Xenopus tropicalis: one gene and its partner. The protein of the gene in region 2 purifies or fractionates together with the protein of the main gene of each other region. This does not show direct contact. Links are inferred from orthologs where the notes say so. Each region holds a gene or a part of one and is shown on either strand. Other genes may lie near its edges.

The links.
Region 1: the proteins of nop2 (region 2) and nip7 purify together in Homo sapiens (affinity purification with mass spectrometry; 3 studies listed by BioGRID and IntAct, with this or other methods). This does not show direct contact. The link is inferred for Xenopus tropicalis from reciprocal best matches to the Homo sapiens genes NOP2 and NIP7.

Annotation. Positions count from the first base shown.
Region 1 is NC_030680.2:61,097,486-61,107,134, forward strand, and holds the end of nip7 (60S ribosome subunit biogenesis protein NIP7 homolog), read right to left. Parts: intron 9,277-9,649; coding exon 9,138-9,276; intron 7,298-9,137; coding exon 7,157-7,297; intron 6,774-7,156; coding exon 6,654-6,773; 3' UTR 5,989-6,653; downstream 1-5,988. Other genes in the region: tmed6 (transmembrane emp24 domain-containing protein 6 precursor), read left to right, coding at 1,816-2,016, 2,863-2,989, 3,763-3,911, 4,033-4,266.
Region 2 is NC_030683.2:10,041,648-10,059,249, forward strand, and holds nop2 (probable 28S rRNA (cytosine(4447)-C(5))-methyltransferase), read right to left. Parts: upstream 12,430-17,602; 5' UTR 12,326-12,429; exon of another isoform or gene 12,322-12,325; intron 12,245-12,321; exon of another isoform or gene 12,129-12,244; intron 10,738-12,128; 5' UTR 10,731-10,737; coding exon 10,625-10,730; intron 10,429-10,624; coding exon 10,389-10,428; intron 10,288-10,388; coding exon 10,223-10,287; intron 10,039-10,222; coding exon 9,644-10,038; intron 9,564-9,643; coding exon 9,514-9,563; intron 9,293-9,513; coding exon 9,195-9,292; intron 9,072-9,194; coding exon 8,875-9,071; intron 7,407-8,874; coding exon 7,317-7,406; intron 7,143-7,316; coding exon 7,055-7,142; intron 6,962-7,054; coding exon 6,821-6,961; intron 6,704-6,820; coding exon 6,564-6,703; intron 6,411-6,563; coding exon 6,321-6,410; intron 5,920-6,320; coding exon 5,797-5,919; intron 5,569-5,796; coding exon 5,471-5,568; intron 5,276-5,470; coding exon 5,145-5,275; intron 4,618-5,144; coding exon 4,220-4,617; 3' UTR 3,858-4,219; downstream 1-3,857. UniProt on the Homo sapiens protein: S-adenosyl-L-methionine-dependent methyltransferase that specifically methylates the C(5) position of cytosine 4447 in 28S rRNA. Required for efficient rRNA processing and 60S ribosomal subunit biogenesis.

The DNA of each region.
Region 1 (9,649 bases), on a different chromosome or scaffold from region 2:
CAATGAACATGTTGAACTATAATGGCACTGTCCCACCTTTTCTATTTAGTTGGATGTTTATGGGTTGTTTACCCAGACACATTTGCCCAGGGTTTAAAATAGCCTATACACCATGAATTATCTGGTGTGCTACATTTTTTGTGGGCTGTTTTAGTGAATAAATAACCCCCCATTGTAAAATATAAGGATATTGTAAGTCGCCTTGGAATTCCATGAGCATATAAAAGCAGGAGGCCAAAGAGATCCTGGGAGCTTAGTATCACTGTTGCAGCATGTACTGATATGATCCTGTACCATCAAAGTCAGCACCACTAAGAGAGATTGTGAAGATATTTCATCAATAAAGAGTTAGCATTTGTTTTTGAAGAACCACTGCTGCCAAATTTATTTCAGAAATCAAGGGAGTTGCTAGGATTTGGACCCAGTCTGACCATATTTAAGGTGACCAATTAGGGTGACCCCCATATCCAAAAACCTGTTACATATAAATTTACTTATACTGAAACAGTAGGAACTGAGAGCCACAACAACCACTGAAGTATTTTTATTATAATTTTATGTAGTTGTCATGTAATATATACAGTGCATTTAAAAAAAAAAAGTAATTTTGGAAAAATGCCACAAAATAGCATTCATCACATTATAGTAATATTTGACAAAAATAATTCTCTTGTATTTTGTAAAAAAACTAAGCAAGTACATTTTTTGGCAGGCATAGATTTGCTACAAAATGCTGCTACAAAATTTACTGCAACAACAATTTGTGAGTGAAGAAAAAAGTGCTGTGGCATCAAATAAATTGTGGTTGCATAAAAAAAGTCACTGGCAAGTAAAAAAAAAAGTTGCGCACATCAAAAAGTCATGCATTAGCCACATTTTGCTAATTTTTCGCTGCTTTGTGAAGTGGAATGAGGCAGATTCACTCATCACTACTGAGTAATTAATTTGTTAAGTACTATAATACTATAAATGGCCTCTTTAGTGTTATAAGAGAGATGAACAGAGTATCATTAGGACTTGCTGCCATAATCAATAATTTAAGCTTTTGCCAATCAGCTTGGCCTGACAGGACAGCAGGGGGCACTCAGCTTACACATTCATTACATTAACTGTATAAAAACTTCTACTGTTGTGAAAGAGAAAATATGCTTAACGTATATTGCTCAAATGTTCAGAACAGCTCACATATGTTTTATATTAAGTTGTATTGGACCTCTTTAAGGGAAGAAACTACCTAATTTTAGTTTTATTTATACCTTATGTAATTTATACAGGGCGTTTAAAAAAATAATTTTAGAAAAAATTACAAAATAATATTTGACAAATAAATAGTTTTAAGTATATTTTGTAAATTTTGTACAACTTTGTAAATATTTAAACTCATAAAACATTTTTGACTTAGGTTACGTCTTCAGCCTTAAGACTAGCAATATATATTTTAAGTACTATAATTTGGTAATTTGTGTATTTTGGTTATGATAATGTAAAAAAGTAAAAATATAATATATATTATATGTATATATATGCTGTTCTGTGTGTGCAATAGCAAATAAGACAAATATATTTAAACAGAAGACAAAGCACATTATTATATCATTTAAGGTTGATGCAGCATTAGAAACATTAAGTAATACTGTAAGCTGCCTGTGTGAATTGTACAGGTGTTTAAAAATGTTCCATCTCCTTTAATTGGCTGTAGCAGGTGCTACGCCTTGTCAGTTTGTCAAGCAGAGGCTGCTTGGTTAGGTTAATGATTGCCACGCTTCTCTAGGTCCTCATCTGCTGCATTCATTGCATCTCAGGCTGCCCTTAATCATGCTTCCAGTTGTGGTGTTCCTACTGGCCCATTTATTGTTTAGTACTGCCCAGAAGTCTGAGCCACTTAGTGATCCCAATGCCCAGTCTTTGTTTCGTGGTGCCGACCGGTATGATTTTGCTGTCCTGCTGGGCCCTGGAGGAACCGAATGCTTCTGGCATTTTGCTCATCAGGAGGGCTACTTCTACTATGGATATGAGGTGAGTTGGTATGTGATGTCCCAGATGTGAAACAAACATTTCTCTTTCTTGATATATATTTTAATCTCAAAATCTCTATAAATATCATCCAATCAATGTATTCATGGATCATCAATGCTCATTGAAACTGCAGACTAACAGCTGCAATAGAGGGCCAGGCAGTGAACAGATGACAGATCTGGTAAAATTTGAAAATCATAATACAAATGCTAATGCTTAATCCAACTGTTGGTAAAATAATTGTGTTAAACTTGCACTGCAGTTGGAAAAAGAAACACCTGCTGCCTGCCAAAAAACATATCACCTCCTTATCTCTTAAACTGCAAGGTGACCCAATGCTTTCTCAGTCTTACAGCACAAATTCACTCGTACACAAAGCTCATACTAAACTTAACATGTATTTTATTGCTGTAACAAATGTTGGCACTCCCCCAGAATAACACATAGAGGCTGATTTATTAATGATTATCTTTTTCCAAATTGCAGGGAAAAAGTGATTTTAATTATTGATACATTTACCCTAAAGTGTTTGCATGTTAAAGTTGCCGTATACATTTATTTCAGGGAGATATTATAACTGGTTTTAAGGAAGTAAAGTAAGACTTCAACACTATTGTGCAAGTGCCTAATTATCATCCTTTATGCCAAGTAATACCTCTGTGTATGGTGTTAATACTTTACCTTATATTTTATTTTCCTTAGTTCAAGTAAGTTCAGGTAGTATGCCTTGCACTGCATATTGTCTTCCTCCTGTTGGAGGGAAAGCTACCTTTTTCTGTGAAGTATTGTACATGGAAGGATTAAAAAAAAATTCTACCAGGCAATGAATGTATAAATTCTCTGCAGGTTCAGTGGACATCAGGGATAATGCAGAACAGACATGTTACTGCCTCAGCTTTTACTCCAGAAGGCTTCCAGATTGAGCAATCACAGGACACTCGCGGTCAAATTAACTTCAAGACAAAAGAGACTGGTAATGTGGATAAACATATTCACACTCTAAATGAGCAGCCACTTAAAGAAGTAAAGCTCAACAAAGAATTAGACAAGGACTGCTGCTTCTATAAGTCCAAGGCTATTACAAACCTTTAACAGTGAAGATTTGTGCCTTTGAAGATACTTCCAGTAGTTCCTCACTCTGTATTGCTGTGTAGTGATGAGTGTGTGGTGAAACTCAGTCCTTTGCCATTAACAAATATTTTAGCTTATAAATACTTCTGTTAGTTGCCTGAACTTAACTGAAATTATACAGTATATATGTAATCAAAAATCTACAATGCAAGGAATGTTGCTAATTAATTCACATTACACGGCAGCTCAGAAGCTAGTGTATTCTGTATCATAATAAGCTCCTGTAGCTTCTCTGACAACTTGTAACCTCAAGGTTGTACAATTATTGATATAGGGCCGTGAAACCTTTAGGCTGGTACAGTAAGTTCATTATATAAAATACTGCATACTATATTTTTTAAGGCTTTGTTTCGTTAGAGCTTCCAACCCATAATGAACCAAAAGTAATTCTTAAATAGAAGGCAACTATGCACAAAAATTAACAATCTTTACACTGCATTCCCAAACTTTGCATTTACTTTTGACTGTGAATTAGTAACAGCAGCTAAAAATTGGCTCATACATTTATGCCCCCACATTTAAGAGTGAACAAATAGTTTGTTCTTCACGAAGAGGACACAATGTCAATCACAACTGCTTTGTGTCATTCTTTTATGTATTATCTTTGTTTTTCAGGATTTTATCAGATTTGTGTGAACAACTGGCAAAATAGTTTTGGTCAAGCACAGGTCTACCTAAATTTTGGGGTATTTTATGATGGTGTTGGGCCAGAACATGTAGAAGACCAAAAACAGAAGTTAAATGACACCCTAGTGACTATTGAGGTAATTTGTAACACGTTTTGTTGTTTTTTTCCCCTATCTTCTGCAATTTTGCCCAGTTAATGGTTTCTATGCTCAAGAGAGTGCTTAGCTCTATATCTCACGAGTCTTTGCTTTTCTTCAGGAAAGTGCACAGATTGTACAGAACCGCGTGCTTCATATGTGGCGATATTACAACTTTGCAAGGATGAGGAAAGGGTCTGATTACTACATCCTCTTATCAAATTATCACTACGTGAACTGGTGGTCTGCTAGCCAAAGTGTGCTAATTGTGGCCTCAGGAGTCCTGCAGCTTTACTTCCTGAAACGTCTCTTTAACGTGAAAACAACAACAGACTCACAAAAACCCCGATGTTAAGTGAACACAAACAGCAGTTGAAGATTACTCTTTATAGCCCAATACGCAAAAATGAACACGCAAACAAGATTCTCAAAGAGGACATCATCTAGGCAGGCTAGCAAGGGATGTTACTGTTGATGCTGATTGGGCACATTTTGGTTGTTGCATAGCATCTGCCTACAAAATCTAAACCTTCTAACCTAAAGCCAGATTGATACCTGTTTCTTGTCCATTAAATAGCCTTTGGGCCATATGGAAATCAAGTGATCAAAGAATAGGAACATTTGTTGCTATAAACTGAACAAAAAGTTGAACATCTCATATATGAAAACAAGTTATTAAAACAAGTTAACTGTCACATTAATGTACAATGTACAGATAACCATGAAATAAAAACAAATGGAATTTGTATGCATGTTTTATTGACCCTTAGATAACGTATATAAACTGACCCCATAAGCCCTGTCACACAAATAAAGGTATTTTCTTTTTTTTAATTATAGAAGGCTTCTTAGAGATGATGGCAAATTTCCTAAGTGCCAAAGCATTATCCCTTCCCTTTTATTCTTTCTACTTCTTTTTCTGCTATTCCTTTGTTTTTTTCCTCCTACAATTTCCCGTGCTTAAATATATTAACCTTTTTTTCTTCTTTTACTATTTTTTTAAATTTTATCACACTAATTTCCCCTTTTTCTTGATCTTCCCATTGTCCTTTTCTCTCATTCAACTCTTGCACCCTATGACTTCTCCCTTGCCCCATTCCACTCTCTTCCATTTTTTTTAATGCTCTCTACTTCTCCCTTTCTTTTGCGTTTGCATTCTTCCTGTCCACTTTTTTTTTTTTTTTTTTACAAGGAGCTTCTGTCTCCATACATGTTGTTGTATCCAGAAATACTAATACAAAAAGATTGCAAATTGCTATTAATTGATAGTACACTAGGGAGTTGTTGAATATCTTTGATTGGTTTCAAGTTTACTGTCAGTTAACACCTCTTTATTGCTTACAGCTAAAGTTACCCAGAGGAATGCCTATATAGTTCTTTAAAAAAAAAAAATCAAATATTTGTATAGTTATATGAAACAACAAAACTAATAGGATGGCCTGGAATTAACTAAAAGTCCTGTATGGCTTAGGGGACCTAGCACAACCTAACCTATACTTTTTGCCCACCCACTTTTTTTGTTTTTTACTTTCTGTAGAATGCTTAGCTTCAGATTTCTGCTTTTCTTCGGGAATGTGCACAGATGGTAAAGAACTGTATGCTTCATATGTGGCAATATCTTTGCAAGACATCCTTTTATAATTTAATCACTAAGTAAACTAGTGGTCTGATGGCTAAAGACTGCTTATTATAGCCTCTGCAGTAGCTTAGTAGTAGTAGGATTTTTTTATGATTACAACAATATGCAAAAAAAAAAAACAAATGTTCAGTGCAAACCCTATTCATTGATCTCATGTGGAACAAGAGTTATCCTGCCCTTTTTATGACCTTCTGTTCCATCGGATAAACTGGAATTCCCTCAAATCGTAACACTGCAGGTATGCATCCTTGTAATGCACAATGAAATTAAACCATTAAATTAGGGCAGAACTAGGATTTGGAACAAGTCCTGTACTATGCCAAGAAAAATACAGCGACTGATTGGAGGGGACACGTCTGTCCACTAAATCATCTTTGTTAGCAAAGCTATTCCTCTATTTACATTAGAGGGGTTTGTGGAACATCAAGAAATCTCATGTTTTTGTAATTATGGTTTATATTAAAAATTATCTCATTTTAAACACAATGACAATTGCACACATTGTGTGCACACAACTTCTGTTCACATATTTGCATTTATAAAAGCATGAAGCAGACAAGTTTGTCTCAGGTGTTACTCTGTTGTCATATGGGGAAAGGAAAATATGCTGCTAAAAAGATTTGCAGCTCACAGCAACCAGACAGGCAAAAGAATACATTAGTAAACATCAGATTATTAGAAAACCCAAGACTAAAACACCATGGACTGTGACAGACTTAGTTTATATACTACAGTTTTAATCTGTGAATAGTAAACAATTTAAATAATTATTTGTGTCACGTGCATAGACTCAATTCACCACACTACTGAAAGTGTGTATTGCCAACTCTGGAAGCTTTTCTGATGTCATGAAAGAAGTTAGAGATCCCATATGTCAAAGTTTAATCAAAGAATAGTCTGAAAAAAGGGGAACACAATCCTCTCAGTTCAAGACAGCATGTCAGTCCAGAGAAAGCAACAATGCTGAGAAGACACAAATGTTCATGATGTATGTACTGTTCCTCAGTAAATGAAGTTTATACAAATATGTTGTGCCTGCTTCGCACAAACAAGGCATTTAGTCCATATAGTTTTCTTAGAAAAGTAGCTATTTGCCTGTACATTTATGTTAAAGTATCTTCATGCCTGATGTACTCCCCAACATCTGCCTGGTGAAAAACCACAATTGCCATAGGATCAAGTTTTCTGCACTCTTGAGTTGACTTTGCGGCCACTCCAAATCCCTGCAGAACAACAGTGAAAAATAAGTCAGGTTTCAGATTCAAGACTGTATAAACCCACTGCAGTATGCAGTAATCTTACTGCTCTAAAATTAGAGAAGCTGTTTACAATTCAAAAACTCAATATGCACAGAATTCAATCAAATCCTAGCAGTCCAGATTTGCGTCCTGAGTGTTTAGCAAAATCTAAACCCTTAAGGTTCTGGAAGACTGAACTAAAAAATGTATAGTATGCAACTGATACAAATGTTTAGTTCTGAATATGATAACCTGGCGCTTCGCATTATTAGCTGAATCTATAATTAATGTAAAAAAACAAAAAAAAAACTAGAATACGTTGACTGTGTTCAAGACATCATGTAACTATATTCTACACATTCACTTACCAGTGGTATGTCAGCCATAGAATACACCACCACTCCTTGGTACTGAGATGTGTTTTCTGTGATACGCCCCAAGCCAGATTTTAGCACATGGTTTCCATAAAGAAAAGACTGCTCTGCTCCAGGTTTCACCCATACTTTGTACTGTGAGGTAGACAAGGTGTAAGAGTAGGAAATGTTTACAACATACTTTGCTTACATTACAAACACCTTTACATGGCAGTAGAGCTGAATACTGAACAATACGAGTGCAGATGTTTTGGATCAAAGCAGTCAGAGCAAGAGTACAAATATGTTCCGAAGTAAGGCAATACTGATTTAAAGGACAAGGAAAGAGCTTTTCTCTGGGAATGCCAATGATTTATTATACACCGCCTAGTGACGAATTGCAAAGCACAGACCATACTTTGCCATTTCTCTTTGCTTAAAGGACAAGGAAAGGCTAAGTCACTTGGGGGTGGCAAAATGTTAGGCACCCCCAAGTGACTTAAATCGCTTACCTTGTACCCCGGGCTGGTGCCCCTGTTAGGGGAAAACAGCACCAGCCTCGGGTACCTGTCGAGAGCACTTCCTCCTTCCCACTCGTGCTGCAGCCAATTGTCCAGAACAAACGCATGCGCAGTAGAGTGAAAAGCCGACTTCTCTGTTAAAGTTCGGCTTTTCACTCTACTGCGCATGCGTGCACAATTGATCAGGAAGGAGGAAGCGATCGCTGCTACCTCGGGCTGGTGCTGTTCTCTCTGTACAGGGGCACCAGCCCGGGTTAGAAGGTAAGCGATTAAAGTCACTTGGGGATGCCTAACATTTTGGCACCCCCAAGAGACTTTGCCTTTCCTTCTCCTTTAAAACAAATTCCAGAATGGAATTTGGGCCAGCTGTACCAACAAGACTGTTGGAAAAGAAAAGATTTATCAACCCCAGGAGATCAAAACCTAGCGATAATAATATGAATATAGGTATATCAATTTCCATCTAGATTGTAAGCTCTACGGGGCAGAGACCTCCATCCTCTTGTGTCTTTGACTCCTAACTTATTGCAAATGTATCTTGTATTTATTTGTGTTTATTGTAATACTTTTTATTTATCTATTTTAATACCCCGTTTATATTAATGTATTCTACTGTACAGCGCTGCGTACATAAGTAGCGCTTTATAAATAAAGTTATACATACATACATACCAGTACCATTTAAAAAAAAACACTGAGTTGTGTAAAGAAAGTTCCCATAATGCCTTGCTCCTATACCGGGACCCAGACCGGTGTACATGCTCAGTTTGTAAGACTATGAGGAAGCTTCCTGCTGATTGGCTCAGATCCACATTCCTAAGGGGGGGAGTGAGTTCTTAGCATTCTTGAGGGAGGGGGGAGCAGGAGAGGGGAGAGAGTCAAGAGCTGCATGTCTCTGGCAGAGGAAAATAGACAACAAATCTTTTGACAGAGAACTCAGTGCAGCATTTCTGTGAGTGCTTAAGGCTGTATTTACATAGACCTTTCTGATAAAGCTTACTTAGTTTTTACCTTTCTTTCTCCTTTAATGTATTTTCTGTTTTTTTGGCAGCGGTTGATCAGCGCTGCTATGTCAGTGGGCTATTTGTTAACGGAATATGCAGTTTTTCGTTGCTGAAATGCTGTATATTCATTGCTCAGAATGCCACAATACCAAAATGAAAGAGGGAGGGGAGGTTGTAAAGAATATGATTGTTGGCTTTTAATAAGAAAACCTTGTGTATATGTGTAGGGGTTTAGTCTGAATAAGACCATGCATATTGTCTTATAATTCTACTGTATCGTATTCTACTAAAATAAAGGAGTGATTTAGACCTAACATAAAACAGACATGAAATTGATATAGTGAATATGTGATGTGTGTGAGAAAATAAAGAATATTTTAAAGCACTACCTGTGTGAACAGGATCTTCCTAAAAAGTTTTATTTCTAATAAAAAAAAATAAAAATAAAATAGAAATAAGAAAATTTCTGACCTTTGCATAGGGTGCCAGATAATCCAAAGCAGTGACATGCAGACGAAACTTGTGTGTCTTGGTAAATTTTCCAAAGCAGGTTCCAAGGGATACTAGCTTGTCTCGAGCAATGTTGGTTGCAAGTTTAAGGATCCTTTCACTGGAAGAAAACCATAATTTATAGGTTAGAGGGATTTTGTCATGATTTTTATGGTGTACTTTTTATTTCTAAATAACATTACTAAATTTTTTGTAGTAATATTGGTGTGTAGGCGCATTGTGTAGGTGCATTGTGCCTGATTCTGAGCTTTCAGAAACAGCCAGTACTACACAATAGAACTGCTTTCAGGTAACCTATTGTTTCTCCTACTCCCATGTAACTGGGGGAGTCCCAACCTTGACTTCGATTTCTACTATTGAGTGCTATTCTGATATCTACTGGGTGCTGCTATCTTGCTACCTTCCCATTGTTCTGCTGATCGACTTCTGAGAGAGGGGGGATATCACAGCAGTAAAGTGTGACTGAAGTATCA
Region 2 (17,602 bases):
CCACCGGCTCTTTGGCACTTTCTCCCACCCCTGCCAGGAGTCATTGCCCTGCACCCACTATCCCTGCTTTGGATGACTTCCCAGCATGCTCTGCTTTTACCAGCTTTTGTGAGACAGCTGGCCGCTGCCTGGCAGGGATGAGACAGCTGGACTGTGGCATTAGTCCTGTGTGTAATTATTCTTCTGGGAGGGGCATTTGTTAGCTGCTGGCATATTACCAGCCAAATGCAGTGTGTGTATATATTTATAAGCTAGAGTAAGCCTTCCATTTATATAATATAAATATAATCAGCCCATTCATAGGCCCCTGCCATCTGGCAGCAGCGCCCCCCCTTGTGCCAGGAGCCATAGAGTGTGTGTTGGTGCAAGTGACTGGGAGCTGCGTGGGAATGTGTATGAGACAAGCGTTGGAGGAATGCAGCGAGACCCCCAGGCACATGAGTAAGGAATTCTCTCTGCATCATTTGAAAAACAGCAGGCGTTGGTTATTATAGTCAGTTCTGTAAATCCATCAGCTGTCATACATATCCATACATAGCCAGTCAGGATCGGATTAACATGGGGGGGTGAAATGTGAGGTAGCCTCAGGCTCCTCGAAGCCAAGGCCTTATTCAACCAAGATCGAGGCACATGTGGCTTTGTATGTTACTGCCACTGTGTGTAAATGTAGATGTAGTTTGGTTCCCTGTAGATTGTTGCTGAGTTACCCTATTTAAACTTCAACTCAGTGCTGGTATCAGAAATCATAGTGTCCCATTCTACTTAGCTGCCAACATGCTTGTCTATGCTTTCAGTGGGGCAGGTAATTTATGAGTTGGGTGCAAGTTACTTATGAGTAACCTACCTTGAGTCAACCTACCTTTTGGTAAGGTATACTGGGGGAGCTGGTAGCAGCCCTATGTCACTTATGCCAAGGTGAGGTGGTTAATCTTGGGCTGTATATAAGGCAGCTTCCTCAAGGAGAAGAAATTAGATTAAATCCAGAGAATGGAGATAGTGCCCAGGGGCAGGAGGTCTCAGTGAAGATAGTGCCCAGGGGAAGGAGGTCTCAGTGGAGAATAGTGCCCAGGGGAAGGAGGTCTCAGTGAAGATAGTGCCCAGGGGAAGGAGGTCTCAGTGGAGATAGTGCCCAGGGGAAGGAGGTCTCAGTGAAGATAGTGCCCAGGGGAAGGAGGTCTCAGTGGAGATAGTGCCCAGGGGAAGGAGGCCTCAGTGAAGATAGTGCCCAGGGGAAGGAGGCCTCAGTGAAGATAGTGCCCAGGGGAAGGAGGTCTCAGTGAAGATAGTGCCCAGGGGAAGGAGGTCTCAGTGGAGATAGTGCCCAGGGGAAGGAGACCTCAGTGAAGATAGTGCCCAGGGGAAGGAGACCTCAGTGAAGATAGTGCCCAGGGGAAGGAGACCTCAGTGAAGATAGTGCCCAGGGGAAGGAGGCCTCAGTGGAGATAGTGCCCAGGGGAAGGAGGCCTCAGTGAAGATAGTGCCCAGGGGCAGGAGGTCCCAGTAAAGATACTGTGCAAGCCTATAGAGAATCCTACTGTATATCTCAGTAGAAGACTAGTAGGACTAGCTGGCCTAAAGACTAAACTCTTGCCCAAGTTCTTTATCGATACAAGACAGTCAGGCTTGTGTAGCTATAAAGCACCAACAGTAAAGTTAATCCCCAAGTGACCCAATTAGAGCTGAGATGGTTTCTAGTTCCAGTGTGGTGCCATACTGTCCTGTTGGGCACAGTCTCTAGGGGCACCACACACTCTCAATAACACATGCCCCCAATATACACTGAAGATGCCCCCAGAGTGAGATGGGTCCCTGTGCTGGTTTGTCCTGCTGTTAGTGGCCTGGGGCATGTGTTTAGCGCAAAAATGACATTACAATAAGCTATGATGGAAGGTTCTAGTATAAGGCACTGTGTGGGTTCAGAGCTAGAAGGCAGGGTTTGGTATATATGCCAACATTCTGGGATGGATACTCAGCCATGTCCCAATACATTAAAGCCATTCACAAACCCACCCTTCTTTCCAGAAAGCTACACATCCCTTCTTGAACTTTGGCATTGATAGCCCCCTAAAGCCTATGGGGGAAATGCTGTATTTTATATTTTATTTTATATAATGATCCAGGCCTGCACAGCTATCTCCAGCACAGGCTAACAGCCGAGAGTCAGTGGCACTGCACGTGCTCAGTGGGCTGCTGCTGAGAAGCTAAGCTTAGGGGTTGTGGGAAATTAGCAAACATTAGCAGATAGTGAGGTTCCAGCTGTCACAGAAGCTGATGCTACAGGGCTGAATAATAACCACAAGGCACTTATGCCAGTCGCAGGTTGAACAATGAAAGTGAACATTTGATTGGTTGCTATGGGTTACTGGGCAGGTGCAAATTTGCCCAGAGTTTATAAATGAGCCCCAGTGTGTCGGTCCCTAAGCTCAGGTAAGCTATACATAAGTACATACCACAGATACTTTACATACAACCTTAACATGCTTAATCCCTCTGGAACCAGAAGCAACATGAATTTAATGGAATTTTAGAAGCCAATGAGAGCTGCCCATGAGTACAGTAATAGCGCTGACCTAGGGGAACCCGTGCCTTACGATGAGTAACCAACCTTTAGGGATCATGGCTCACCGAGTGTAGGGTGTATGATTCATGGTATATATTATTTCATATATATTTATTTCCTAAGGGCTGCCCCCTGGGATCATAGGAGTCACAGTGAACACAAACAAGCCAAGGCACACATACATGCTAGGCCCCATCAGCCAATGAATGGGCAGAGTTCTGCCTTTTGCTCCCATACTACTCCCTGTTACAGTTAGAGCTGCATCACTTCCCGTCAGCTGATCTCTGAGGGAGCACACAGCCCATCACAAAATGGCGGCTCAAGGGAAAGGATATAAAACGGCAATATTTACTGATATATATATTCCAGTTTGGTGAGATTCTTTAATAGGCCACTTAATATGATATATAGTTTTCTTTTAAGAGGTTCTAGTTGTTTTGCTGATTTTGGCCACCAATACACTGCGCCGTATATAGATGGGATCTATTGGCCCCTGGGCCTAGGGCTGAATCATAATGGGGCCTAAGAATTCCAGTCAGGGAGGGCTGCAACGGTCACCTTATGTTTTACATTGCTGTACAGTTCTCGTTTACCCAAAAGTCCCGCACTTGTTATCAATCAGCTCCTACTTGATTGGATAAAATGATTCTTAGTAAAATTACACTTGTCTTACATGAAAACCTATTGTATAATCTCTGAGCCCTTGTGTACAGCAGCCCCAGGAAAACATGGCTTCCCCTGAATTCCACCATCACCTCCTCTACTGTGATGCCTCCTTCTCCTTTGTACTCCAAGGGCAGGACTTGTGCTGCTGTACACCCTTGCCTTGTACTGCAGCAGTTTGGTTTGGTTGCACTAAAGGGGTATTCCTTTTTGAGAAGCTCAGTGGTTTAAGGCCTGGCTTCCTTGCTGATTGGTGCAAGTAAAAATACTTTTTACCTGTTTTTCCATAGCAGTTGCAGTGCTATAGTGAAGACATTGCTTCTGGCAATTCTGTGCCAGCTGGCATCCCTAGCGCTCTCAAACCAGATCTTGCAAGAGTGGCAGGGCTATAAGATAAGGCACCAATGTGTCCAATCCTGACTGTGGGCAACATACTGCCCCCTACAGCTTATTGTGGGCTGCCACTCACCCTATATTTGCACCAATCAATAATGGAGCACCTTACACACATCAGCCTCACTCCCCCCAGCACCACATGTGCATTTAAACCCTCACCCCTTCAGCCCTCTCCGTTCCGGGCATCTGCTCTTTCCTGGAACTGACAGACCCAAAGTCAAACTCCATAAAAACAATATTTTTTTTTTCTATTTTTATAAAACAGAACCAATATGTTTACAGGGCTGGCGGCTGCCTTGGTTGGAAACAGAAGTCTGGAGGTGTGAGACCCAAGACACTATACATCATCATAAGAGTTTACATAACAGTAGCCCTGCATGGAATATGCAGGAAAATAAAGATGGGCCAGTGCCAGAATGTCTATTATTTCTGCTGATTCTCCCACAGAACCCCACAGACTCTGAGGGTGGCCAGGCTCAAGGCCACATTCAAGATGCTCCCAACCACCTTTCAGTTTGCAGAACATTCTGAAGTTCTATGGAGGAGCAGCAGGCAGGCTGAGTCACAGGGCAACAGATGGTCAATGTCATGCGGAAAAAGTTATTTATTCGTTTTCTTTTTGAACATCTTTTTCTTCTTTGATGCTACTTTCTTCTTATTTTTATTGCCAGTCACCTTCACAGCTTTCTTCATATGAGCTTTCTTTATTGCAACTTTCTTTTTCTGAGCTTTCTTCTCTGGTTCCTTCTCATTTGCCCCTTTTTCCTTTGCTGCCTTCTCATTTCCCCCTTTCTTCTTTGGCGCCTTCACATTCCCCCCTTTCTTTGGCGTCTTCTCATTCCCCCCTTTCTTCTTTGGCATCTTCTCATTCCCCCCTTCCTTCTTCGCTGTGTTGTCCTTCACATCATTCTCCTCTGGAGCTTTCCTCTTTGTAGCTTTCTGCTTTGTGGCTTTGTCCTCATTCAGCTGATCTGGGCTGGGGGTCTCAGTCTCTTCATCTTAAGGGGAGAAAGTAAAGCAAATTGTATAGGATCATGTGAGATACTGATTCGCAGTCAAGGAACTGCATAATGAAGGGAGGTTCTATACAGAGGAAACCTGGATAAAAATGCTGGAAAGGATTTCAGAACCCATGACTGGGAATGGGGTCACTGAAGGGAAGATGTCAAAAGAGGCTAAGGAGTAAAGAAACTAAGGGAAAAGCATAACTAACTTGAGGCAACTATGAGCCAAAGCATACACTTGCTCAGACACATAAGGCAAAACACACGAGAAACTGTCAGCAGGCATAAGTCTAGGAAGGGCTTTTCCACATGTGACCCTCAGAGATATCTATGTCCCCCCAAGACTGCTCAAAAAAAAAAACCAGCTCTTACACTTGTAGCACAGTACGATATGGAATAAATTGGGCCCCACTGATATAGAGAATAAGCATGCAGTGTTTGGGAATACATTTATATCAATAACCGTAAGATGCCTTACAGACCTCAGCAGAGATGCATTAGCGGTTACAAAAGAAGCTTACCTTTATTTGGCTTGGGGATGGTGTTGGAGAACTTGCGCAGCTTTGCAATGAAAAAGCCGTCCATATTGTGAGTGTGTGGGTAAAATCTTCGTGCCTGCCGCAGCGATGGGTGAAATCGCCGTTCCTTGAACCTGACAGTGGGAAGGATTATTTATAAATGGACACACTGACCAATCCATTGTGCAGCCAGTACAGATTCTGGTGGCAAAGCCCAAAACACATCTTTACCCAAGGAATCACAGGCAATACAATAACAAATGCAAGGTGATCCTAGCAAACAATCAGCAGGAAGTGTAAGGGCACATATACAAGGATGTCACTATTACCTGACAAAACCTTCCTTTCCAAAATCCAGTCCTGTTGGGACAAGTTTGACATTTCTCTTCTTTAAAGCATAATCCACTACACATTCATTTTCCTCCACCTGCAGGGACAGAGACTTAGAATTAGGCTTGAACCGGACTTTTTCTGTTGTCTTGACAAACAATGTGCCACTCAGCAGTACCACTAAGCAAGGTGCCATCAGTTTAACCATATAAAATGAACCAAGGAAGAAAACACTTGGAAAACAAAGGGGACAGAGTGTAATAAACAAAAGGTGTCTCATTTCACCCTGCCTGAAGCAGCTGTGGATACAGTCCAGCCAACTCACCGTTATGGAGCAGGTACAATACACCATAAACCCGCCAGTCTGTGACTGGGCATCCAGAGCATCAATAGCACTGAGAATCAGTTCCTTCTGTATGTGGGCACAACGCTGGACATCCTGTACACTCTGCGTAAATACAAATACACAGCATTATTGCACTGCCATTGTACCTTCTTTCACTTACTCAGGCTGTGAACTTGTTTCTGGGGCTCCAGAAAAAGTTAGCAAATGTACTGGTTATAATCAGGACAAGAAATACTGAATAGATACTGGGTGCCAACAGAACTATGGAGCTCACTTTAGCATCACACATGCAGAGGCAACCACTATTGTTCCTGTGTCCCCTATGGAACTGAACAAAAAAGGATGTAAGGTAAGAAAACAAAAATCCTCTTTTCAAAATCAGGCTGCCCCTTTTCCCTACACTAGAGGCCCTAGGAGGGCCAGCCCCATAGTTTTGCAACAACTGCCTTAGAATATAAACAAAAAAATAATATGGAGCAGCACCACAGTAATATATGTGTTACCTTATTTGTTTTAACGGCAGGATCCTTGCTGATAATCCCGGTACCACTGCACGGAGCATCAAGGAGCACTCTGTCAAAGCCCCCTAACACCTGGTAAGGTATTGAAAAAAAAAAAAAAAAAAAAAGTCAGTAAGTTCCAAAGCCAGTTCTTGGCCTTTCTCTTCAGAACCATGAAAAATCCCCCTAATAGGCAATATATGCCAGTACCCTGATGCCCTCAAGCTTTTGCTATTGTCAGCTGACCTTGGATATCTGCCGCCCATCATAATTGCTGATGATGCAGTTTGTCACCCCCAGCCGGTGAAGATTGCCCACAACACTGCGCAGTCGGTCTGCATTCATATCATTGGCCACGACTATACCTGTGTTCTTCATCAGCTGAGCTGGAGACATAAGGAAACAGAACATTAACGAAAATGGGCATTTCTCCTGACAGCACCAGTCTACTTTCAAGTTACCATCTGCCATCTGTTCCTCCTTTCTAATTTCCCTTTACTTACCCATGTAGCTGGTCTTGCCGCCAGGTGCGCAACACATATCCAACACCCGCTCATTCTCCTGAGGAGCCAGCGCGATGACTGGTAAAAGACTAGACGCACCTTGCAGCATGTAATGTCCGGCTAAGTACTCAGGGGTGGCACCTAGGCACACAAGCAAGAAAATAAGTTAGGCTTCTCATCACAAGCAAACACAGAGTCCTTCCCTTGGCACAAACTCGCATCCCATAAACTCACCAATTGGCACGGAAGAGTCGTAAATAACAAGTCCAGTTTTTGACCATTTACCCAAGGGATCCAAATTTACACTGCGGTTAATGAGAGCCTAAGAAATAACAGAAAAAGAGAAAGTAAAGTAAGATTTTTGTTATGCTCACTTTCACCTATTTCCTCAGAGGACAACTGGGACAAGAAAAGAACCAATGGGGGAAGCATGTAGTTGTAATGGCACACAGTGGGATTTGGGCCGTTTGTTACTAGAGCTGACAAAGTTCTGCACCTGAGCAAGGTCACGTCTTCTTGTCTTTAAAGTGTTGGTCCTGATTGTTATCGGTCGCTGAACTTCACAAGCCTCAAGGAAATCTACTAGCTGAAATTAAATGAAAGGGGAACCAGGGAGAATGAAAAAGAAAGGTTTAGATACAATGGGACAAAACAGTAGACATGGCACTGTAATGAAATACCATTATACAGATAGCTAGAATCTCAGCCATAAAGCAGGGCAGGACTGCTGCTTACAATGGGGATCAGATAGGATCTGTGCCACTGTGACAGAATGCTCTGTTATACAGATAGCTAGAATCTCAGCCATAAAGCAGGGCAGGACTGCTGCTTACAATGGGGATCAGATAGGATCTGTGCCACTGTGACAGAATGCTCTGTTATACAGATAGCTAGAATCTCAGCCATAAAGCAGGGCAGGACTGCTGCTTACAATGGGGGAATCAGATAGGATCTGTGCCACTGTGACAGAATGCTCTGTTATACAGATAGCTAGAATCTCAGCCATAAAGCAGGGCAGGACTGCTGCTTACAATGGGGGAATCAGATAGGATCTGTGCCACTGTGACAGAATGCTCTGTTATACAGATAGCTAGAATCTCAGCCATAAAGCAGGGCAGGACTGCTGCTTACAATGGGGGGGATCAGATAGGATCTGTGCCACTGTGACAGAATGCTCTGTTATACAGATAGCTAGAATCACAGCCATAAAGCAGGGCAGGACTGCTGCTTACAATGGGGGGATCAGATAGGATCTGTGCCACTGTGACAGAATGCTCTGTTATACAGATAGCTAGAATCTCAGCCATAAAGCAGGGCAGGACTGCTGCTTACAATGGGGGGGATCAGATAGGATCTGTGCCACTGTGACAGAATGCTCTGTTATACAGATAGCTAGAATCTCAGCCATAAAGCAGGGCAGGACTGCTGCTTACAATGGGGGGGATCAGATAGGATCTGTGCCACTGTGACAGAATGCTCTGTTATACAGATAGCTAGAATCTCAGCCATAAAGCAGGGCAGGACTGCTGCTTACAATGGGGGGGATCAGATAGGATATGTGCCACTGTGACAGAATGCTCTGTTATACAGATAGCTAGAATCTCAGCCATAAAGCAGGGCAGGACTGCTGCTTACAATGGGGGGATCAGATAGGATCTGTGCCACTGTGACAGAATGCTCTGTTATACAGATAGCTAGAATCTCTGCCATAAAGCAGGGCAGGACTGCTGCTTACAATGGGGGGATCAGATAGGATCTGTGCCACTGTGACAGAATGCTCTGTTATACAGATAGCTAGAATCTCAGCCATAAAGCACTTGAGAAACCACTCAAAGATTCAGGGCTTGTAACAGCCCAAACTGAAACTTTCATAACTTGTCCTCACCAAGAACATAATGCACTATTGTAACATCTATTTTATACATTTCAGCCAACACTGAATTTGCAATAACAATTGTACCAAATGTTTTCTGTAGGACACAATGCCAGATTTCCTCGGCACAGCTCTCACCCACCATATATACAACCGCCTTTCATACACTGCTCACTCTCACCTCCGACACAGGGAAAAGTTCACTGAGCGTCTCAATCATGTAATCTCCGTAACTGTAGTAGGTAGCGAGATCTTTCTTGAGCACTTTGAGGTACTCCTGCCGCGTCCGACCTCCCCCGCGCTGTGCGAAATTCTGCAGAACTCCTACTATATCCTTAATGCGCTCCTGCACTGTGACAAGATCTGGGGCAGTTGAGACTGCAGGGGCAGTTAAGGAAGGGTCATTCTAAAGCAACATGAGCTGGGGTGTAGAAATTTTAAAGAATTAAGAAATTCGGGAAGGGTGGGAATGAGGTACAATCCAAAAAAAGATAAGGATACGCTCCTTTTCCAACTCTTCTTCAGTTGGAAGCTGAAATAGTTCTTCGGAATCTACATTCAACTGAATGGTGCTCTCTTCTCCTGTCAGAGCTTCTTCACTATATGGAACAGATCAGAATGGGAGAGATTCCGATATGAAAAGTCGAGTTATTTACAGGTAAAGAGAACTGTGCAAATAGGGAAAGGAAGGGGTGCCCAGCATAGCAGCCAGCAGGCCGGGCAGAGTTAGAAATGCACCGCAGGCTGAACAGAGGCAATAATAGGGTATAGGGTCTGTGTGTGTATGTGGGGGGGATTATTCTAAACAAAGGGGTGTTACCTTTTTTGTTTTTTTTTCTCCTTCTTGGATGCCCGCTCTATTGGAAGAAGCTACAAAGAAAAAAATTATGTCAATTACTACACAGTGGGGGAACAGAGAAATGGGAAAAGGTGCACTTGATATCACTTACATCCTTCTCATCCCCTGACGAGGTTCCATAATCATCCTGAAGATCATCGCTGTCTGACAGGGAGAGGGATTCGCCAAACTCACCATCACCATCCTCCTCCTCATCACCATCCTCCTCCTCCTCATCATCACCATCCTCATCTTCACTTTCCTCTTCTGCATCTTCCCTCTCATCACTCTTCTCTTCCATTTCTTCATCTACCTCCTCCTCCATCCCATTCTCTACCTCCTCCATTTCATCCCCCTCTTCTTCTTCTTCATTATCCTCCTCACTATCATCTTCGCTTTCCTCATCTTCTTCCTTGCGAGCTCTTTTCACAGGCTTCAGCCATTCTGCATTGTCATCAGTAAATCCCGGCAGGACTTTCTTTTCGCCTATTTTGAGCTTTGCATTGGCTGAAATAGATTGAGAACCATGGGAAAGAAACACAGAGAGTGAATAATGTAGCAAACGGCGTTACAACATTAGGAAAGGACAAAAAAAGAGAGAAAGGGAGAGAGACAAGACATCAAAGAGATATTAACAAACATGAGGAAAGGGGAGCTGGATGGGGGAGGGGAGGCAAGAGAGACTCCATACCATTGCTCTTTGCTGGGGGTTTGGCTGCTGCTTTTTGCTCCTGTAACATGCGCCTTTTTAGTGCCCTGGAATGAGACAAGGGAAGGAAGGGACAGATAAGTTTGAGCAATTACCAAGCACCAGAAATACTTGGCTTTGCCTGTGCCCCAAGGCTCAGCAATCTCACCTCTTCCTGCCGCGGCTGGACATGCGCTTTGCTTCTGTGTCTGAGTGAGAGGGAAAGAGAGAGCAGAAAGTCAATGGAGGCTCAGAGAGGAGACAGACAGCTAGAACATCATGGGGCCAAATACACTGTTGGGCATTTCCAGCCTGTAACTTTAAGAGATGCTTAAAGGGGAAGTTCAGAAAGTGGAACAAAAAGGCATGAAATGGGTATTAAAGCCCAATCCAGTGGGCACTCACCCTCTTGCAGGATGTTCTTTAGCTCATTTTCTGCCCCATGCTGCTTCCTTGCTTTACGGCCTGGGCCACGAGGCACCTTCCTCAGCGGGTCTAATTTCCTACCCATGATGCACCTGTATGAAAAGAGAGCATGATTCAAAAGACATATGGTTCCTCTACAGTGTGTACCTACCATGACAGGTTACAGGCTGACATCACTGCTTGTTTTGGGGGTGGAGCTCTCACTGCATTACACAGAAATCATCCCTGCAATGAGCATCATAGTGCCCACAGACACCAGCTGAGGTTTAGCCACTGGGCAAGGGGGTAAATGTGTTGAGATCTCACAAAACACTGTCCATTTTTTGTGGGAGGCACAGGTTGCTAAGCAGGGATCATCGGGTGTTACTGTAACCATGTTACCCTACTGTTGCCATCTTGCTTTGCTTTACCCACTATTCCCTACATTTTTTTTTTAAATAGCACCATAGGGCAATCACACATATATGCCATCTATATAGATTGTAAGCTCTACGGGGCAGGGACCTCCATTCTCTTGTGTCTGTGACTCTTAACTTATTGCAACTGTATCTTGTATTTATTGTTATACTTTTTATGTATTTATCTATTATCTTAATAACCCCATTTGTATTAATGTATTCTACTGTACAGCGCTGCGTACATAAGTAGAGCCTTATAAATAAAGATATACATACATACAACTCCCTGCCAATTTGCAGCTTAGATTCTAACAGACTATTAAAGGGGCAGTAGCATGTCCAAAATTGTTATAAATAAGAAATGTGTTCTCCCACATCTGTGCTGGACCCCCCAGGGGTACTTTAGGTGCCTCCAACACTCCATAAAGGCAGGTTAATAGTCGCCAGTAGGGGGCAGTAACTAATGGGAATGACGATCTCTGTAAAAGGCAACAGAAAATGTCATTATTTAATAAGTTTAATGACTTTAGATCTGTCTGGGACAGGACATGAAATCAGAGGTTGAAGACACACAGAGCTACTAGTAGCAGCTACTTGTCCTGGTCACTAAAAAAGTCAATGCTGATCATTTACTGATAGTTGTCTCTATGTGTGTTTTAGCAGAGGCAATTCTCACTCTTGTCTATGGCAGGGGATTTTCTGGAGTTTAGTAGCCTTGAAAAAGTAGCTGCGACTGGTAGCTCAGTGTGTCCTCACCAAAACAGAATAATGCAGGGTGACCAGGACACTTGAAAATTCAGGGAAAGGTATAAAAAATCCAGCCAGCAGGGCTGAACTGATTGCAGTTTAATTCAAGTACAACCAGGGCTGCCCTCCAACATGCATGTTAGACGTGTCCCTTAATCTTCAAGTGATCTGACCACCCTAGGGTAATAGTGTATGCAGGTGACTGCGCTGGGGCAGATATGCGCTATGTTACTAAATAACGCTGCCCCAGGGCTCCCTGTGAGGACGAAGGACACAGATAAGGATTTGATTCCTACGCTCCCAACATTCCTTATACAGGGAAGCGACTGCTTTATTACTTGATTCCGGACTGCAGGATCCCAGCGCAACACACCGGGTACAGCGTTACACTGTCGGACGCTAAAGTTTGCGAGGCTCCCACAGACGCTTAGCACGTATCCCGTATTAGACCATTAATAGTACTTGCCCGCCCTCCCGTCACTACACACAGTCTGACAAAGCTGGGAGAGAATACACGTTATGCGCCTTTACCTACTGCCGGAGTCGCTTTCTACTCGGTCTCACGTGTTGCCCAGGCTGGCTTCCGCTCCGGCGCACTGCAATGACGTCACGCCTGGGATTCGGGCATGTGGCGGGGTACCGGAAGTGACGGAAGCAGGGCCCGGCAGTCTGATTGGGTATATGGGGTGCTGGCAAGAGGAGGTAGAATAGGCAGAGGTATCTGGTTCTATGGGCAGAGTGTATGTTTTAGAGATGCCATGAACTGCCAATAGGGGCTTGTAACCAACAGGCCGAATTATTATTCGCCATTATATTGAGTTGGGAATTGGGCGGGTCCCTGGGAATGGGATATGATGGCGCAAACACACGTATGGGGGGGGGGGCTGTCTGTGGCACCTTACAGCCCCCCTGGCATTCCCAGTACCCAGAGGCACAAACAGCCCCCCCAGCCCAATAACTAGTGACTGTCTGTGGCACCTTACAGCCCCCCTGGCATTCCCAGTACCCAGAGGCACAAACAGCCCCCCCAGCCCAATAAATAGTGACTGTCTGTGGCACCTTACAGCCCCTGGCATTCCCAGTACCCAGAGGCACAAACAGCCCCCCCCAGCCCAATAAATAGTGACTGTCTGTGGCACCTTACAGCCCCCCTGGCATTCCCAGTACCCAGAGGCACAAACAGCCCCCCAGCCCAATAAATAGTGACTGTCCTGTGGCACCTTACAGCCCCCTGGCATTCCAGTACCAGAGGCCCCCCCCCAGCCCAATAAATAGTGACTGTCTGTGGCAACCTTACAGCCCCCCTGGCATTCCCAGTCCAGAGGCACAAACAGCCCTTAGCCAATAAATAGTGACTGTCTGTGGCACCTTACAGCCCCCTGGCATTCCAGTACCCAGAGGCACAAACAGCCCCCCCAGCCCAATAAATAGTGACTGTCTGTGGCACCTTACAGCCCCCCTGGCATTCCCAGTACCCCAGAGGCCAACAGCCCCCCCAGCCCAATAAAATAGTGACTGTCTGTGGCACCTTACAGCCCCCCTGGCATTCCCAGTACCCAGAGGCACAAACAGCCCCCCAGCCCAATAAATAGTGACTGTCTGTGGCACCTTACAGCCCCCCTGGCATTCCCAGTACCCAGAGGCCAACCCCCAGCCCAATAAATAGTGACTGTCTGTGGCACCTTACAGCCCCCCCTGGCATTCCCAGTACCCAGAGGCACAAACAGCCCCCTTAGCCCAATAAATAGTGACTGTCTGTGGCACCTTACAGCCCCCCTGGCATTCCCAGTACCCAGAGGCACAAACAGCCCCCCAGCCCAATAAATAGTGACTGTCTGTGGCACCTTACAGCCCCCCCTGGCATTCCCAGTACCCAGAGGCACAAACAGCCCCCCCAGCCCAATAAATAGTGACTGTCTGTGGCACCTTACAGCCCCCCCTGGCATTTCCCAGTACCCAGAGGCACAACAGCCCCCCCAGCCCAATAAATAGTGACTGTCTGTGGCACCTTACAGCCCCCCTGGCATTCCAGTACCCAGAGGCCACGCCCCCAGCCCAATAAATAGTGACTGTCTGTGGCACCTTACAGCCCCCCTGGCATTCCCAGTACCCAGAGGCACAAACAGCCCCCCCAGCCCAATAAATAGTGACTGTCTGTGGCACCTTACAGCCCCCCTGGCATTCCCAGTACCCAGAGGCACAAACAGCCCCCCCAGCCCAATAAATAGTGACTGTCTGTGGCACCTTACAGCCCCCCTGGCATTCCCAGTACCCAGAGGCACAAACAGCCCCCCCAGCCCAATAAATAGTGACTGTCTGTGGCACCTTACAGCCCCCCTGGCATTCCCAGTACCCAGAGGCACAAACAGCCCCCCCAGCCCAATAAATAGTGACTGTCTGTGGCACCTTACAGCCCCCCTGGCATTCCCAGTACCCAGAGGCACAAACAGCCCCCCCAGCCCAATAAATAGTGACTGTCTGTGGCACCTTACAGCCCCCCTGGCATTCCCAGTACCCAGAGGCCCCCCCCAGCCCAATAAATAGTGACTGTCTGTGGCACCTTACAGCCCCCCTGGCATTCCCAGTACCCAGAGGCACAAACAGCCCATTAGCCCAATAAATAGTGACTGTCTGTGGCACCTTACAGCCCCCCTGGCATTCCCAGTACCCAGAGGCACAAACAGCCCCCCCAGCCCAATAAATAGTGACTGTCTGTGGCACCTTACAGCCCCCCTGGCATTCCCAGTACCCAGAGGCACAAACAGCCCCCCCAGCCCAATAAATAGTGACTGTCTGTGGCACCTTACAGCCCCCCCTGGCATTCCCAGTACCCAGAGGCACAAACAGCCCCCCAGCCCAATAAATAGTGACTGTCTGTGGCACCTTACAGCCCCCCTGGCATTCCCAGTACCCAGAGGCACAAACAGCCCCCCCCAGCCCAATAAATAGTGACTGTCTGTGGCACCTTACAGCCCCCCTGGCATTCCCAGTACCCAGAGGCACAAACAGCCCCCCCAGCCCAATAAATAGTGACTGTCTGTGGCACCTTACAGCCCCCTGGCATTCCCAGTACCCAGAGGCACAAACAGCCCCCCCAGCCCAATAAATAGTGACTGTCTGTGGCACCTTACAGCCCCCCTGGCATTCCCAGTACCCAGAGGCCCCCCCCCAGCCCAATAAATAGTGACTGTCTGTGGCACCTTACAGCCCCCCTGGCATTCCCAGTACCCAGAGGCACAAACAGCCCCCCCAGCCCAATAAATAGTGACTGTCTGTGGCACCTTACAGCCCCCCTGGCATTCCCAGTACCCAGAGGCACAAACAGCCCCCCCAGCCCAATAAATAGTGACTGTCTGTGGCACCTTACAGCCCCCCTGGCATTCCCAGTACCCAGAGGCACAAACAGCCCCCCCAGCCCAATAAATAGTGACTGTCTGTGGCACCTTACAGCCCCCCCTGGCATTCCCAGTACCCAGAGGCACAAACAGCCCCCCCAGCCCAATAAATAGTGACTGTCTGTGGCACCTTACAGCCCCCCTGGCATTCCCAGTACCCAGAGGCACAAACAGCCCCCCCAGCCCAATAAATAGTGACTGTCTGTGGCACCTTACAGCCCCCCTGGCATTCCCAGTACCCAGAGGCACAAACAGCCCCCCAGCCCAATAAATAGTGACTGTCTGTGGCACCTTACAGCCCCCCTGGCATTCCAGTACCCAGAGGCACAAACAGCCCCCCCAGCCCAATAAATAGTGACTGTCTGTGGCACCTTACAGCCCCCCTGGCATTCCCAGTACCCAGAGGCACAAACAGCCCCCCCAGCCCAATAAATAGTGACTGTCTGTGGCACCTTACAGCCCCCCTGGCATTCCCAGTACCCAGAGGCACAAACACCCCCCCAGCCCAATAAATAGTGACTGTCTGTGGCACCTTACAGCCCCCTGGCATTCCCAGTACCCAGAGGCACAAACACTCCCCCAGCCCAATAAATAGTGACTGTCTGTGGCACCTTACAGCCCCCCTGGCATTCCCAGTACCCAGAGGCACAAACAGCCCCCCCCCAGCCCAATAAATAGTGACTGTTTGTGGCACCTTACAGCCCCCCTGGCATTCCCAGTACCCAGAGGCACAAACAGCCCCCCCCAGCCCAATAAATAGTGACTGTCTGTGGCACCTTACAGCCCCCTGTCATTCCCAGTACCCAGAGGCACAACAGCACCCCCAGCCCAATAAATAGTGACTGTCTGTGGCACCTTACAGCCCCCCTGGCATCCCCAGTACCCAGAGCACAAACAGCCCCCCAGCCCAATAAATAGTGACTGTCTGTGGCACCTTACAGCCCCTAGGGCATTCCCAGTACCCAGAGGCACAAACACTCCCCCAGCCCAATAAATAGTGACTGTCTGTGGCACCTTACAGCCCCCCTGGCATTCCCAGTACCCAGAGCACAAACAGCCCCCCCCCCAGCCCAATAAATAGTGACTGTTTGTGGCACCTTACAGCCCCCCTGGCATTCCCAGTACCAGAGGCACAAACAGCCCCCCCCAGCCCAATAAATAGTGACTGTCTGTGGCACCTTACAGCCCCCCTGTCATTCCCAGTACCCAGAGGCACAAACAGCACCCCCAGCCCAATAAATAGTGACTGTCTGTGGCACCTTACAGCCCCCCTGGCATCCCCAGTACCCAGAGGCACAAACACTCCCCCAGCCCAATAAATAGTGACTGTCTGTGGCACCTTACAGCCCCCCTGGCATTCCCAGTACCCAGAGGCACAAACAGCCCCCCCCCAGCCCAATAAATAGTGACTGTCTGTGGCACCTTACAGCCCCCCTGGCATTCCCAGTACCCAGAGGCACAAACAGCCCCCCCCCAGCCCAATAAATAGTGACTGTCTGTGGCAACTTACAGCAGCCCCTCTTGCATTTGCCTGAACCCACAGATTGCCCATCCGGGAGATATGTTGGCCTGTGATTAAAAATAAATATTAGATGTGATTAGATTACAGGGAACTCTGAGTATCACTCATGTATTATAAGGGATAATGTACCCCCTACTGTAAATGATAAGGATATTAGCAGTCACTAAGGGGTTCTGTGCCCATATAAAGGCACAAGGCTGCAGGCTGAGTTATACAGGGAACTCTGAGTATCACTCATGTATTATAAGGGATAATGTACCCCCTACTGTAAATGATAAGGATATTAGCAGTCACTGAGGGGTTCTGTGCCCATATAAAGGCACAAGGCTGCAGGCTGAGTTATACAGGGAACTCTGAGTATCACTCATGTATTATAAGGGATAATGTACCCCCTACTGTAAATGATAAGGATATTAGCAGTCACTGAGGGGTTCTGTGCCCATATAGAGTTATACAGGAAACTCTGAGTATCACTCATTATTTTCAGTAGGGGGTACATTATCCCTTATAATACGTAAGAGTAATAAAACTCACTGCAGGGTAATGAGACAATATGTAGGTGCTGCATGAATGTTTATAATTCAAGTTTTAGTTCATCAGAAATGTAAACTTATGAGGTAAAAAAAACTGGGTCATCATTCTATCTACAACATCCATGAGCAAGCCAAGTACTTTTAAGCAAGAGACCAACTTACTTTATGGTTTGCTTTAGATGCCCTCCTCCAGTAGAACCTCATCAGACCTGTTAGGTATTTTTTAAGTGCAATAATAGCTGAAAGGAAATATTTATATACAGGCCCTTACATTTCACTCCTATGGACTGGGTTAATGGGGGACATCCCATTCACAGTTTGATGGCGAGGAGGGAAGGGGAAAGTGAGAGCTAAGGCATGGA